Linked DNA regions of Macaca mulatta. The protein of the gene in region 2 interacts with the protein of the main gene of each other region in a biochemical or structural test. Links are inferred from orthologs where the notes say so. Each region holds a gene or a part of one and is shown on either strand. Other genes may lie near its edges. The genes, in order: JUP, CDH1 and CTNND1.

Region 1 (4,366 bases), on a different chromosome or scaffold from region 2:
TCCCAGCTACTCAGGAGGCTGAGGCAGGAGAATCGCTTGAACCTAGGAGGCGGAGGTTGCAGTGAGCCTAGGTGACAGAGCGAGACTCCACCTCAAAAAAAAACAAAAAGAAAAAGAAAGTGCTTGGTTTCTGTAAAGTCTGACCTTGATCTTGAGTTACCATTTGTCAAGTACTTACCGGGTAGATAGGTGTTGTATTCCCATTTTGCCAAAGAAGTCACTGAGACTCAGGCAATGTAATGAGAGACAGAGCTGGTTCTCAAACCCAGCTCAGTTCAAGCCCAAAGCCCTGTGCTCAGAACTGCCCCACTGTCCCATCTCTCCAAATAAACAGTCCTTCTGTAGACTAGTCAATTGACCGATCTCATTCTAAGGTGGCTCCAGGAAGGGAAGAAGGTTGGCAGCCCTAGCCCGACCTTTTTCGTTCCTATACACTGCATTCTCAAAGCCTCAGCCCTGGCAGCCCAGAGGTTCCAGAGGGAATGGAGTGGAGCCAGGGTGCAAGGGAGGGGTGGAGTGGGGGTGGGAGGGCTCAAATCACCCAAGCTGGGGCTTGATCTAGCAAGAAATGACTAATTGGGTCCTACCTTCTCCTCCTCCGCGTCCCCCAGTCCAGTCAGTGGCCAGTTTTCACCAGGCACCTCCTAGTAGTACTTCCTCAGTATTATCTTTTCATCACAGCCACAAACCAGATTAGCTAAACTAATCATTTAGCCAACATAATTACAATGCCCTCCCCTCCTCCACCTTGGCAGGGAGAAGAGGGAAAGCAGGTTATTTTTGCCCAAACTCCGTGCTCCTGTTGCTCCCCAGAGGTGCACCGCCCCCCTCCTCCAGCAGAAAAGGATCTGAGTTCCCACACTGACTTCCCCCTAGCCCCGGGCTGAGCGTGATCCCCACCCAGGATAAAGGGGCTGAGTCTGGGCCCCCAGCCTCACTCCCCCATCTACAACAAAGAAAGAGGTGGTAGACTCTCCCCCTCCAAGCACTCTCCATCCCCGCTCCCCGCAATCTTTCTCCCACCCCCAGGACTGAGAGAGAACCCAACTGTGGTATTCTCTCTCTGTTCCCCAAGGAGGCTGGGCTCCAAATCCTGCAAAAAGACCACACTTCAGATTGTTTTTTAAACCGGGGTAGAAAGCCTGGTCAAGATTCCCAATTCGGGAGGGTAGGGGGGGTCTCAGGAAATTGGGAGCAGGGAAGGCAGGGGCCCGATGCAGCTCTGCCTGAGGGAGTCTAGCACTGAAGAAACCTTCCCCCAAAAAGCCTTCCTCCGGTCTCACTTTCCCTGTCAAATTCTTTCAGGAAAGGGGGTGGGAAAGGTCTGTGCAGGCCTCCAGAAAGCATGCACCTTCATAATTCAGAAATCAAATGGAAGGCAAGTCCCACAGCCTCATGCTCTTTTGCCTCAATTACCAGCCAGCTAAGTAATGTGGGGGATGGGGTAGAGAAAAAAAAAAAGACAAGAACAACCACTCCCCCCACCTTCCTCAGTTTGGCCCAGCCCTGCCCCACCCCCATTCCTGGGGAGGGGGCAGAGCTTGAGAGAGAGAGCCGCTTACGCAGGCCTCGTCTGAGGGGGTGTGGTGGTCCCCGGAGGCAGGAAGAGAAGGAAGAAGCTGCTTCCCCTCTCAGCACTTTCCACCCCCCACCCCGGCCCCCACCTCAGGCCCCTGGGGCCCAGCGAAGAGGATGAAGGTGGGGGCAGGGAAGACAGGGTCGGAGCGCAGGCACCCGCCCAGGTTCAGCCAGGGGCCGGCTAGGGGAAGGGGCTTTGCACCAAGAAGGACCCCCTAAGCCTAAAGGAAGTTTTGGGCAAGGAGACAGGAAAACCCCCAGATCAAGCTGCTGTGAATACTTCCTCCTGCAAAGTTTGTTTTGGGTGATTTTTCCAACAATAAGAGGTTAGAGAAGAAGACGGGTCCTGTTCCCCTACCAACACTCTAGCAACCACAGCTACTGGAAACTGGGCCAGGTGACCCTGAATTCTTCATCCGTGCACAGACCCCACCCCCCAGACTCCAGGGCGAGCCACGGATGCCAGACACACCAGCTGGACACTGGGTCGAGCCCTGCACCCACCACTGTCACTCCATCCCACCTCCGCTGAAGAAGCCAGAGCCCGGCTCCCACCGGAGTGGAGGGAGGCGCCGCAGGTAGTATGGACGAGGCTCTGGGAGTTGGAGGGCAGGGCCTCTGGACTCCGTGCGCTCACCTGCTCGGCAGGTGGGGCCAGCGTCGCTAGGAAAATGTGTGCTCGGCCCCCACAGTTGGGCAAGCTGGGCGCAGACAATAGGGCCCCACCCAGGCCTGGGGGAGTAGGGAGGGAGGGAAAGCGAGGATGACGCGTGGGGTGGGGTGAGAGTGGCCCCAGAGACCAGCGACAGCAAGTTTCCCAAACGGTAAATTCCTGACTGCAGCGTGAGCCCTGGGACGCAGTCAAAGCAGGGCAAAGTCTCCCCCACCAGCTCAGGGCGAGAGTCAGGGACGCGGCGTCGGGCGAGGGGCGCGGGCCCCGGGGGAGGCACGACTCCGGAGGCACCTGTCCGGATCCCTCCCGCCCTGCTCAGATCTCTGGCTCGCGGAGCTCCCAGGCGCGCTCTGCCCAAACCGCGCGACCCCCAGGTCGCCGCGCCCAGGACCCCAGCGCGCCCCCTGCCGCCGGTGCAGGGTGGCGCTCCATGGCACCCGCCCTCACCTGCCCAGAGACGGCAGGGACCGGCCTCGCGGGCGCTCGCCACCCCTTCTCTCCCCAGCGATACCTGCTCCCAATCGCCCGCACCTTAGTATGGGGCCTGGCCGGGCCGGGTCGGGGTCGGGCCGGGGTGGGAGCCGGCGCAGGCAGCTAACTGAGCTCGGCGTGGTCGGGCGGCGGCTGCTCCGGACTCTGGCCAAGGCAGCAACTCAGTAACCGAACAAAAGGCAAAGAGACCTGACAGCCAAGCCACGCCCCTCGCCACCTCGAAGCTCCGCCCCTGGGGGTGACGCCCACCCTCTGGTGCGAGCTCACTGGCTGTCTCGCCTGACTGTCCCGTCGAGGGGCGGAGCCTCACCTCCAGTCCTCTTCCACGGCCGCCTCTGTTTATCCGCTTGCCATTGGCCCCAGGGACTGCCAGTCGGCTCTAGGGATGGACTCTAACTTGAGGTCTCATCCTAACACTGCACCTATTGGCAGATAGAAAGTTACTTCCTCCTGATTGGACAAGGGGCTGTCAGTAAGACTAAGGAAAAAACCAATGGAAGGGATGGGGTGTGTCTTGCCCCACCCTTGCTCTGAGCAGGTGAGACTCATTACTCTCCCCTTCCCCCTACCTGTCCAACAGGTAAGTCAGGGGATACTAAGGGAAGGGACAGACGCCTTCACCGGCCAGCCAACTCAGCGTCAAGCATGATGCTTCTTTGGGCTTATTCATCCTTGCCCCAAAGTAGTAATCACATATTTGTATAGCATTTCATAGGCTTTGTGCTGGGTTGGGATTTTTTCCCCCCAAAGATGGAGTACTCCTGGGATTTAGAATTAGAAGGCCAGGGTTTGTGTTCTCCCACTTAGTATGATCTTAGACAAGTTACTTCACCCTGTTTCTCCTCATCTGTAAACTGGATACATTAGCCGTATCTACCTCACTGGAGTATGTGGGGATTAAATGAAGTCAGGTTTGTGAAAGCACTCGGAAACTGCTAAAGGTTAGAATTTAAATTAATGGTATTTTTGTTTTAATTATTGTGACAGCTCTGAAAAAATAGTTAAGATGAGAAAACGACCCTCATTGTAAAGATGAAGAAACCGAGGTTCAGATAAGTCACAAAACTACAAAGTGGCACACCCCAAGCTAGAACCTCCTTCTCATTTGAAGGACCATCGAACCAGCTGTTCCCTTCATGGAACATAAAATGCATAGACATAAAATGTCAAGGCAATGGGGGAAGGGGCAGAGAAAAGGCACAAACACTGGGAGGAGAGACAGAACAATTAATTGGCACAAAAATACAGTATTGGTGTCAGGAGGCTTTGATGGGTTTGGAAACATCAAGCAGCAGATCTGAAAGAAACCCAGGCATGAAAGAAACGGGGCAGGCCAAGGTGGGTGGATAACCTGAGGTCGGGAGATCAACACCAGCCTGGCCAATATGGTGAAACTCCATATCTACTAAAAATACAAAAAATTAGCTGGGCGTGGTGGCGGGCAACTATAATCCCAGCTGCTTGGGAGACTGAGGCAGGAGAATTGCTTGAGCCCGGGAGGCGGAGGTTGCAGTGAGCTGAGATCATGTCACTGCACTCCGGCCTCAGCGTGACAGAGTGAGACTCCATCTCAAACAAAAAGAAAAAGAAAAAAAGAAACTGGGTAGCACATCCCTCCACGAT
Region 2 (3,644 bases):
GCTCCGGACCCCGCAGTGATGGGAGTGGGGCGTGGGTGGTGAGGGGCGAGCGCGGCTTTGCTGCCCCTCCAGCGCAGACCGAGGCGGGGGCGTCTGGCTTCCGAGTCCGCGGGGTGGGCTTGGGCTGGCGCGGGGGTCGTGGAGCGGGGTGTGGGGGGTGGGGTGTGGAGAAGGGGAGCCCCGGTGCAAGTCGAGGGGGAGCCAGGAGTCGTGGGCACGATCCTCGAGGGAAGGAGAGGGGCATCCGTAGAAATAAAGGCACCTGCCATGCCAAGAAAGGTCGTAAATAGAAGTGGGAGTCCCGGGGATAAGAAAGTGGGGTCGAGGGAGGTGGGAGCGCCCCTCGCTCTAAGGAGTGGTGCATTCCCGGTCTAAGGAAAGTGGGGTTGGGGAGAATAAAGACATCTCCAATAAAATGAGAAAGGAGACCGAAAAGAACGATGGGCTAGGTCTCGAGGGGGTGACTCGGCGGCCCCCTTCCGGGAGTTCCTGGGGGCTTGGCGGCCGTAGGTTTCGGGGTGGGGGAGGGTGACGTCGCTGCCCGCCCTGCCCGAGGTTGGGGGCGGGGGTCCTCCCCCAATCCCGACGCCGGGAGCGAGGGAGGGGCGGCGTTGTTGGTTTCGGTGAGCTGGAGGGAACCCTCCGAGTCACCCGGTTCCATCTACCTTTTCCCCACCCCAGGTCTCGTCTTGGCTCTGCCAGGAGCCGGAGCCCTGCCACCCCGGCTTTGACGCCGAGAGCTACACGTTCACGGTGCCCCGGCGGCACCTGGAGAGAGGACGCGTCCTGGGCAGAGGTGAGGGCGCGCCGCCGGTGTCCCTGGGCGGAGTAGGGTGGGGTTGGAAAGGGGCCGAGAAATTGCACTCCCACACCCCTGGGTTGGAATGGGCAAGCTCTCTCCTTGGCTCAAACGACACCCCTTGGAATTTACACAGATTTGGGGATCCAAACGTTTACGACTGAGCACTGGTGGAGGGGGTAGCCCTGCCTGGTTGTTAACCATGTTATAAAAAAGCAGAGGTTGAGGGCACTTACTAGAAGCCTTCGTATTTCTCTTATTGCCCTCAGCACTGTAGAGACAGTGTCCCATTTCAGACTGCAAAAACCTGGTGGGTGGGAAGGCTCCGGCAGGAATATTCCCGTTTTACAGATGAGCAAACCGAGGCTGAGAGGGTGACGTCTACTTGCCCAGGGTCAGCAGAGCAGGTATCTGAACTGGGACCTGACTCCCAAGCCCCATTAAGCACCATCTCTGGGATGACTGAAGAGCAGCTCTCTCTTGGTTACTGGGCTGTGGCTTTTGTTTATAGATATTAAAGCTTTTTTTTTTTTTTTTTTTTTTTAAAAAAAAGGGTCTTGCTCTGTTTCCCAAGCTGGAGTGCAGTGGCACAATCACAGCTTACTGCAGCCTCCATCCTCTGGGCTCAAGTGATCCTTCCCACCTCAGTCTCCCTAGTAGCTGGTTATCACAGGCATGTGCCACCATACCTGGATAATTTTAACTTTTTTTTTTTTTGAAACGGAGTCTCGCTCTGTCGCCCAGGCTGGAGTGCAGTGGCCGGATCTCAGCTCACTGCAAACTCCGCCTCCCGGGTTTACGCCATTTTCCTGCCTCAGCCTCCCGAGTAGTTGGAACTACAGGCGCCCGCCACCTCGCCCGGCTAGTTTTTTGTAGTTTTTAGTAGAGACGGGGTTTCACCGTGTTAGCCAGGATGGTCTCGATCTCCTGACCTCGTGATCCGCACGTCTCGGCCTCCCAAAGTGCTGGGATTACAGGCTTGAGCCACTGCGCCCGGCCAATTTTAACATTTTTTTAAGGCTGGGCGCAGTGGCTCACACCTGTAATCCCAGCACTTTGGGAGGCCGAGGCGGGTGGATCACAAGGTTAGGAGTTCGAGACCAACCTGGCCAACATGATGAAACCCTGTCTCTACTAAAAAAAATACAAAAATTAGCTGGGCATGGTGGCGTGCACCTGTAATCCTAGCTACTCAGGAGGAGGCAGGAGAATTGCTTGAACCCAGGAGGTGGAGGTTGCAGTGAGCTGAGATAGTGCCACCGCACTCGAGCCTGGGTGACAGAGCAAGACTCTGTTCCAAAAAATAAACTAAAATAAATTTTTTTTAGAAACAGGAGTCTCTCCATGTTGCCCAGGCTGGTGTCGAACTCTTGGGCTCAAAGGATCCTTCTGTCTCAGCCTCCCAAAGTGCTGGGATTGCAGGCCTGAGACACTGTGCCTGAACCAAAATACCTTGTTACAGGTACTGTTTCCCCCAAGAAATAATGATTTTTTTTTTTTTGAGACAGAGTTTTAATCTTGTTGCCTAGGCTGGAGTGTTGTAATGGTGTGATCTCAGCTCACTGCCACCTCTGGCTCGCAGGGTCAAATGATTCTCCTGCCTCAGCCTCCTGAGTAGCTGGGATTACAGGTGCCCACCACCATGCCCAGCTAATTTTTTGTATTTTTAGTAGAGAAGGAGTTTCACCATGTTGGCCAGGCTGGTCTTGAACTCCTGACCTCAGGAGACCACCTGACTCAATTTCCCAAAGTGCTGGGATTACAGGCATAAGCCACCATGCCTGGCCAGGAATAATTATCTTTTTTTTAAAAAAAAGCATGGTAGTTCTGACTCAGGATGAAAATGCATACACCCAATGTACTTCTAGGCTTATCTTTGTGATAATCTAGAGTTTGCTTTGTTCCACTCCACTGTTGTCCAGGGAGCAAGGGAAGGGGCTAGTTTCTCTTCTGAATTCACTGAATCCCGAGTGCTTACTTTATATCAAACCACTTTCTCCTCTCTCATGATTTTAGTTGATTGGATATCACAATAAAAGGCATATTTTTTTTTAAGGAGAAATCACCCACAATTCCCCTGAGGGAACACCTCCATTGTGTCTATTCTTCTGGTCTTTGACCACATGAATCTTTAGCAATCATGCTGTTGTCTTTAAATTTTTTTTTGAACTTGGAAGTCATTCGAAGTTTTTTACAGAGAAACTACAGCTCGACTGATGAAGTATATTTGCTCTGTGTGCTCTAGAGCTTTCTATTGGATCAGAAGTTATCTAAAACTCCTGGGCTCAAGTGAGTCACCCACCTTGGCTTCCCAGAGTGCTGGGGATTGAATATTTTGATGTCAGTAGGCATTGAGGAGCGTTTTCTTGGGGGAGGCAAGCTTGATCTAGCCTTGGAGAGCAAGGCAGGGGCTAGAAACGAGCTTGTATCTGAGCGTGTGTCTGGCGTGGCCCAGTGCTAAGGCTGGTGATTTTGTTTTCCTGCACCAAGATACTTGGTAGCACCAAGGGTAGGTTGGTCTGGTTTTTATTTCTCCCTTCTAAGCTCCTGTGTCTGACCAATAATGTTATTACATATTAACACTAATATGATAATAATTAATAGTGACACATACTCACTTTTGCCTCAGACTCTGGGGCAAGTGCTTCACATATCTTACCTCATTTAGTCTTCACTAGAACATTAGGAGCGTGGGCAGTATTATTCTTCCTACTTTGTAAGTAAGGAAACTGAGGCATAAAGCAATTCTGTAATCTGATCCACAGTTGGTCTTTTCTCTTCCTTTTTCCCCTTGTTTTTCACCTCAATAACCTGAAAAAACAAAAACAAAAAAGGTGTTTGGGGA
Region 3 (3,644 bases), on a different chromosome or scaffold from region 2:
ACTACAAACACTGTACTAAATTTTGAGGTAATAGTTAGCATTCAACTCCTCACCAATTAATTCTTTGTTGCGAGCATCCACAGCCAGGTTTCTCAGTGCTCCAGACGCAGCTTTCACCACCCGTTCATGTTCATTAGTCAGGAGGTCAGCTATGGCAGAAAGAGCCTTCTCTTGACGCAGAGCAGAGCGGATATATCGACCATACTAGAATAGCACATAGAAAGGGGTAGAACAAATTACAAATGGCAGCAAACTAGTTATCTAAGTTTTCCCATCTCCAAATCCATTTTCTAAAAGGTACTTTACCGTCCAGCGCCCAGCACACAAATTCTGGATAGCTCCAGCTGAGGCTTCTAAGATGGCAGGAGTCTTGCTCTCCTTAAGAAGTGAGATGTATATCCGAACCACCTCTGGCTGAAATAAGAGCTCATAGCCTGCACAAAAGAGAAAAAGAAGGCAGAAGGTGCTAATCAGTACCAATAAACCAGGCTCTAGCTGGCTGGAGTTCAGCCTTAATACTCCCGATTGATGTTCTATACCATCAGGTTCCCTAAACTCTCTCACACTCTCTACAGCAAATTTAGAGGCCAAATTCCATGTCTTAAGAATAATGAGGCCAGGCGCAGTGGCTCAACACCTGTAATCCCAGCACTTAGGAGGCCAAGGCGGGCAGATCACGAGGTCAGGAGATTGAGACCATCCTAGCTAACACGGTGAAACCCCGTCTCTACTAAAAATACAAAAAATTAGCTGGGCGTGATGGCGGGCGCCTATAGTCCCAGCTACTCGGGAGGCTAAGAGCAGGAGAATGGCGTGAACCTGGGAGGCGGAGCTTGCAGTGAGCCGAGTTCACGCCACTGCACTCCAGCCAGAGTGAGACTCCGTCTCAAAAAAAAAAAAAAAGACTAATGAATCCATGGTAAGATTGGAACAAATATCAACTCATTATACTCAACTCCTCTCTTTCCTTCCTTCTTGCCTCCTCTCCCATAGCTTTGCCTTTGGTTCTACCATGAGCGCTCAGGGGCTCCATTTAGCTCATTGACAGCACTCAAGGTTAAAAATTCCTCATCTCAAATCAATTATTTCTAACTTAACCCAGTCATTCTTCCCATCTTTGCAATTACTACGACGGTCCATTACAGATTAAACGTTTATAATTTTTATATCCATGGAGAGCTGTGAACTTTGGACTCACTGTATTGATGAATATAAAGATCCAAATTTCTTATAGTAAAGTGTAAAAATTATCTTTTCTTTTCTTTTGGAGACGAGTCTCTGTCGCCCACGCTGGAGTGCAGTGGCGCGATCTCAACTCACTGCAACCTCCGCCTCCCGGGTTCAAGCGATTCTCCTGCCTCAGCCTCCAGAGTATCTGGGATTACAGGCACCCGCCACCATGCCCAGCTAATTTTTGCATTTTTAGTAGGGACAGGGTTTCACCATGTTGGCCAGGCTGGTCTCAAACGCCTGACCTCAGGTGACCTGCCCGCCTCAGCCTCACAAAGTGCTGGGATTACAGTCATGAGCTGCTGCCCCCAACCTAAAAAGTATCTTTCTTAGTAAAGGAGCTTCTTTTAAAAGTGAGGTTTAAGTCTCAGGCACTGTAGTGGTCATTTATGGTTCCCAAATTTCTGCTCTAGACTACCATCAGGACCTTATTCTATCCTCAAGTAACCTGAATAACTGCCTTAACAAGTAGTCCTTTGTAAGTTACTGCTGTAATACTATACAGCTTCCCAATACTTTCACAATCATTTCAGTCTGTAAGTTGGAAAAGAGAGGACAATAAACATATTACATAAAGTCTGCTGTTAAGTTACCAAATATCTTATCTTTGTACTATGTTTATGAGACCTTTGGAGACTGAGAAGATAACTTACCCCGAGCTGGACTCGTTCTTTTAGGGAAATCCACTGTGTCATTTGCTGGATCCTCTATGGGTTTTTTCCCTATAAAAACGAAAAAGGGCAGGAAAAGGGGTAAGTCAGTTTAAAATAGAAAAGATTCCACCTGGCACATTTTTCATTCTTCGGTCAGAACCTTTTGATCACAGATGCACCACGAGGGACAAAGGGCAGGTGGGGGCAACTTGTTCCAGCAGGGGACTATTCAGAAACAAGGATAGAAAACAGGCAGCAGATAGGTAAGATGAGGATGACCATTGTTGATGCTATTGTCCTGAGCTCTGATAATGGGGACTGCTGCCCAGAAACAGCATGCCATGAGCTATTAGCTCCAAAGAGCTAAACCTGTTTCAGTGTCTTCCTCAACTGAACTTTCCTACATGCATAGACAGGGAAAGGTTAGGCAAGGACATACTAGGGAAGCTAAAACCAAAACATGCAAATTAGAAGTAGATAAGCACCTTAAAAGACTCCACTCACCTCTGGAGAACCACTCATCTTCCAGTGCATCACCCAAGGCAGAAAGCAGAGAAGAGAAAAGAAATAAGAAAAATGCAGGAGAAAGATGTCAGCAGAATCATGGGCAAATAAGCAGGGAAGCACAGAGAAGAAAAGAAAAACACAGAAAATGCAAAGGACGTATGGGGAAGAAGGTCCCAGATTAGTTGAGTTCTCATTTTCCACTGCCCCACTCATTGATACCACCACCACCACCACCATCACCACCAACACACCACCACCATCACCCCACCACCAAACCTTGAATGAAGCACACAACACAGGAGAAGCAGCAAAGCAAAAAGACATCTGTAACCAGGCAGACTCCCATATTGCTTGCCAAGTATTTTGTATCTTAAGCTAAAGTGTTCCTTCCTTTCCCTGTCCCACATTAAAGAGTAAGAAACAGGAACCAAGACTCACCTTTGCCCTTCTTGGCCCCAAAGCAACTGGCAGCATGTGGCCCAGTATTGTTGGCAACATTGGGAGCTGCCTCTTGGTAACGCTCTGCCTGTGGGATCTCCCGGTGAACTTGATATGATAAGTTCCGAAGGAGGCAAACACAGTTTTCTACAAGCTTAGGTACACAAGATAAAAGGGCCAATGAGAAAAAAGAATGTTGTGATTTCTCCACAGGTTTCCATGACTCAGGTATTAAAATGTTGATATTCAAATGCATAACCCAATCCATAACTTCTCAGGATGCCTCTTAAGCGCTCCAGGCTTCTTGAAATCCCTGTAGCCTCAGGCTAATGGAAGGCCCAACTATGGACTTATTGGCTTCTGCCACTATTTGGTGTGTGACTGAAACTTGGATCATCATTCTTACTACTTAGACAATGTACAATTTTGGAAGACAGCTAAGCAGCTTTAAAATATATAGGTGACAGATTTTTAAAAAAAGAAAAAAAAGCTGGGCACAGTGACTCACACCTGTAATCCCAGCACTTTAGGAGGCTGAAGCAGGTGGATCACCTGAGGTCGGGAGTTCAAAACCAGCCTGGCCAACATGGTGAAACCCTGTCTCTACTAAAATACAAAAACTAGCTGGGCATGGTGGCAGGTGCCTATAATCCCAGCTACTCAGGGGCTGAAGCAGGAGAATCGCTTGAACCCAGGAGGGAGAGGTTGCAGTGAGCCGAGATCATGCCAATGTACTCCAGCCTGTGCGACAGAGCCAGACTCCATCTCTAAAAACAAACAAACGAACAAAACACATGTTTTCTTTTAAGTTGAATG

Evidence for each region.
Region 1: the proteins of CDH1 (region 2) and JUP form a complex in vitro, tested with the Homo sapiens proteins (2 studies listed by BioGRID). The link is inferred for Macaca mulatta from reciprocal best matches to the Homo sapiens genes CDH1 and JUP.
Region 3: the proteins of CDH1 (region 2) and CTNND1 form a complex in vitro, tested with the Homo sapiens proteins (5 studies listed by BioGRID and IntAct, with this or other methods). The link is inferred for Macaca mulatta from reciprocal best matches to the Homo sapiens genes CDH1 and CTNND1.

What each region holds. Positions count from the first base shown.
Region 1 is NC_133421.1:66,113,869-66,118,234, forward strand, and holds the start of JUP (junction plakoglobin), read right to left. Parts: upstream 2,886-4,366; 5' UTR 2,783-2,885; exon of another isoform or gene 121-2,782; intron 1-120. UniProt on the Homo sapiens protein: Common junctional plaque protein. The membrane-associated plaques are architectural elements in an important strategic position to influence the arrangement and function of both the cytoskeleton and the cells within the tissue.
Region 2 is NC_133425.1:64,334,074-64,337,717, forward strand, and holds part of CDH1 (cadherin-1), read left to right. Parts: intron 1-681; coding exon 682-796; intron 797-3,644.
Region 3 is NC_133419.1:15,586,461-15,590,104, forward strand, and holds part of CTNND1 (catenin delta-1), read right to left. Parts: intron 2,983-3,644; coding exon 2,829-2,982; intron 1,953-2,828; coding exon 1,884-1,952; intron 435-1,883; coding exon 307-434; intron 205-306; coding exon 54-204; intron 1-53. UniProt on the Homo sapiens protein: Key regulator of cell-cell adhesion that associates with and regulates the cell adhesion properties of both C-, E- and N-cadherins, being critical for their surface stability.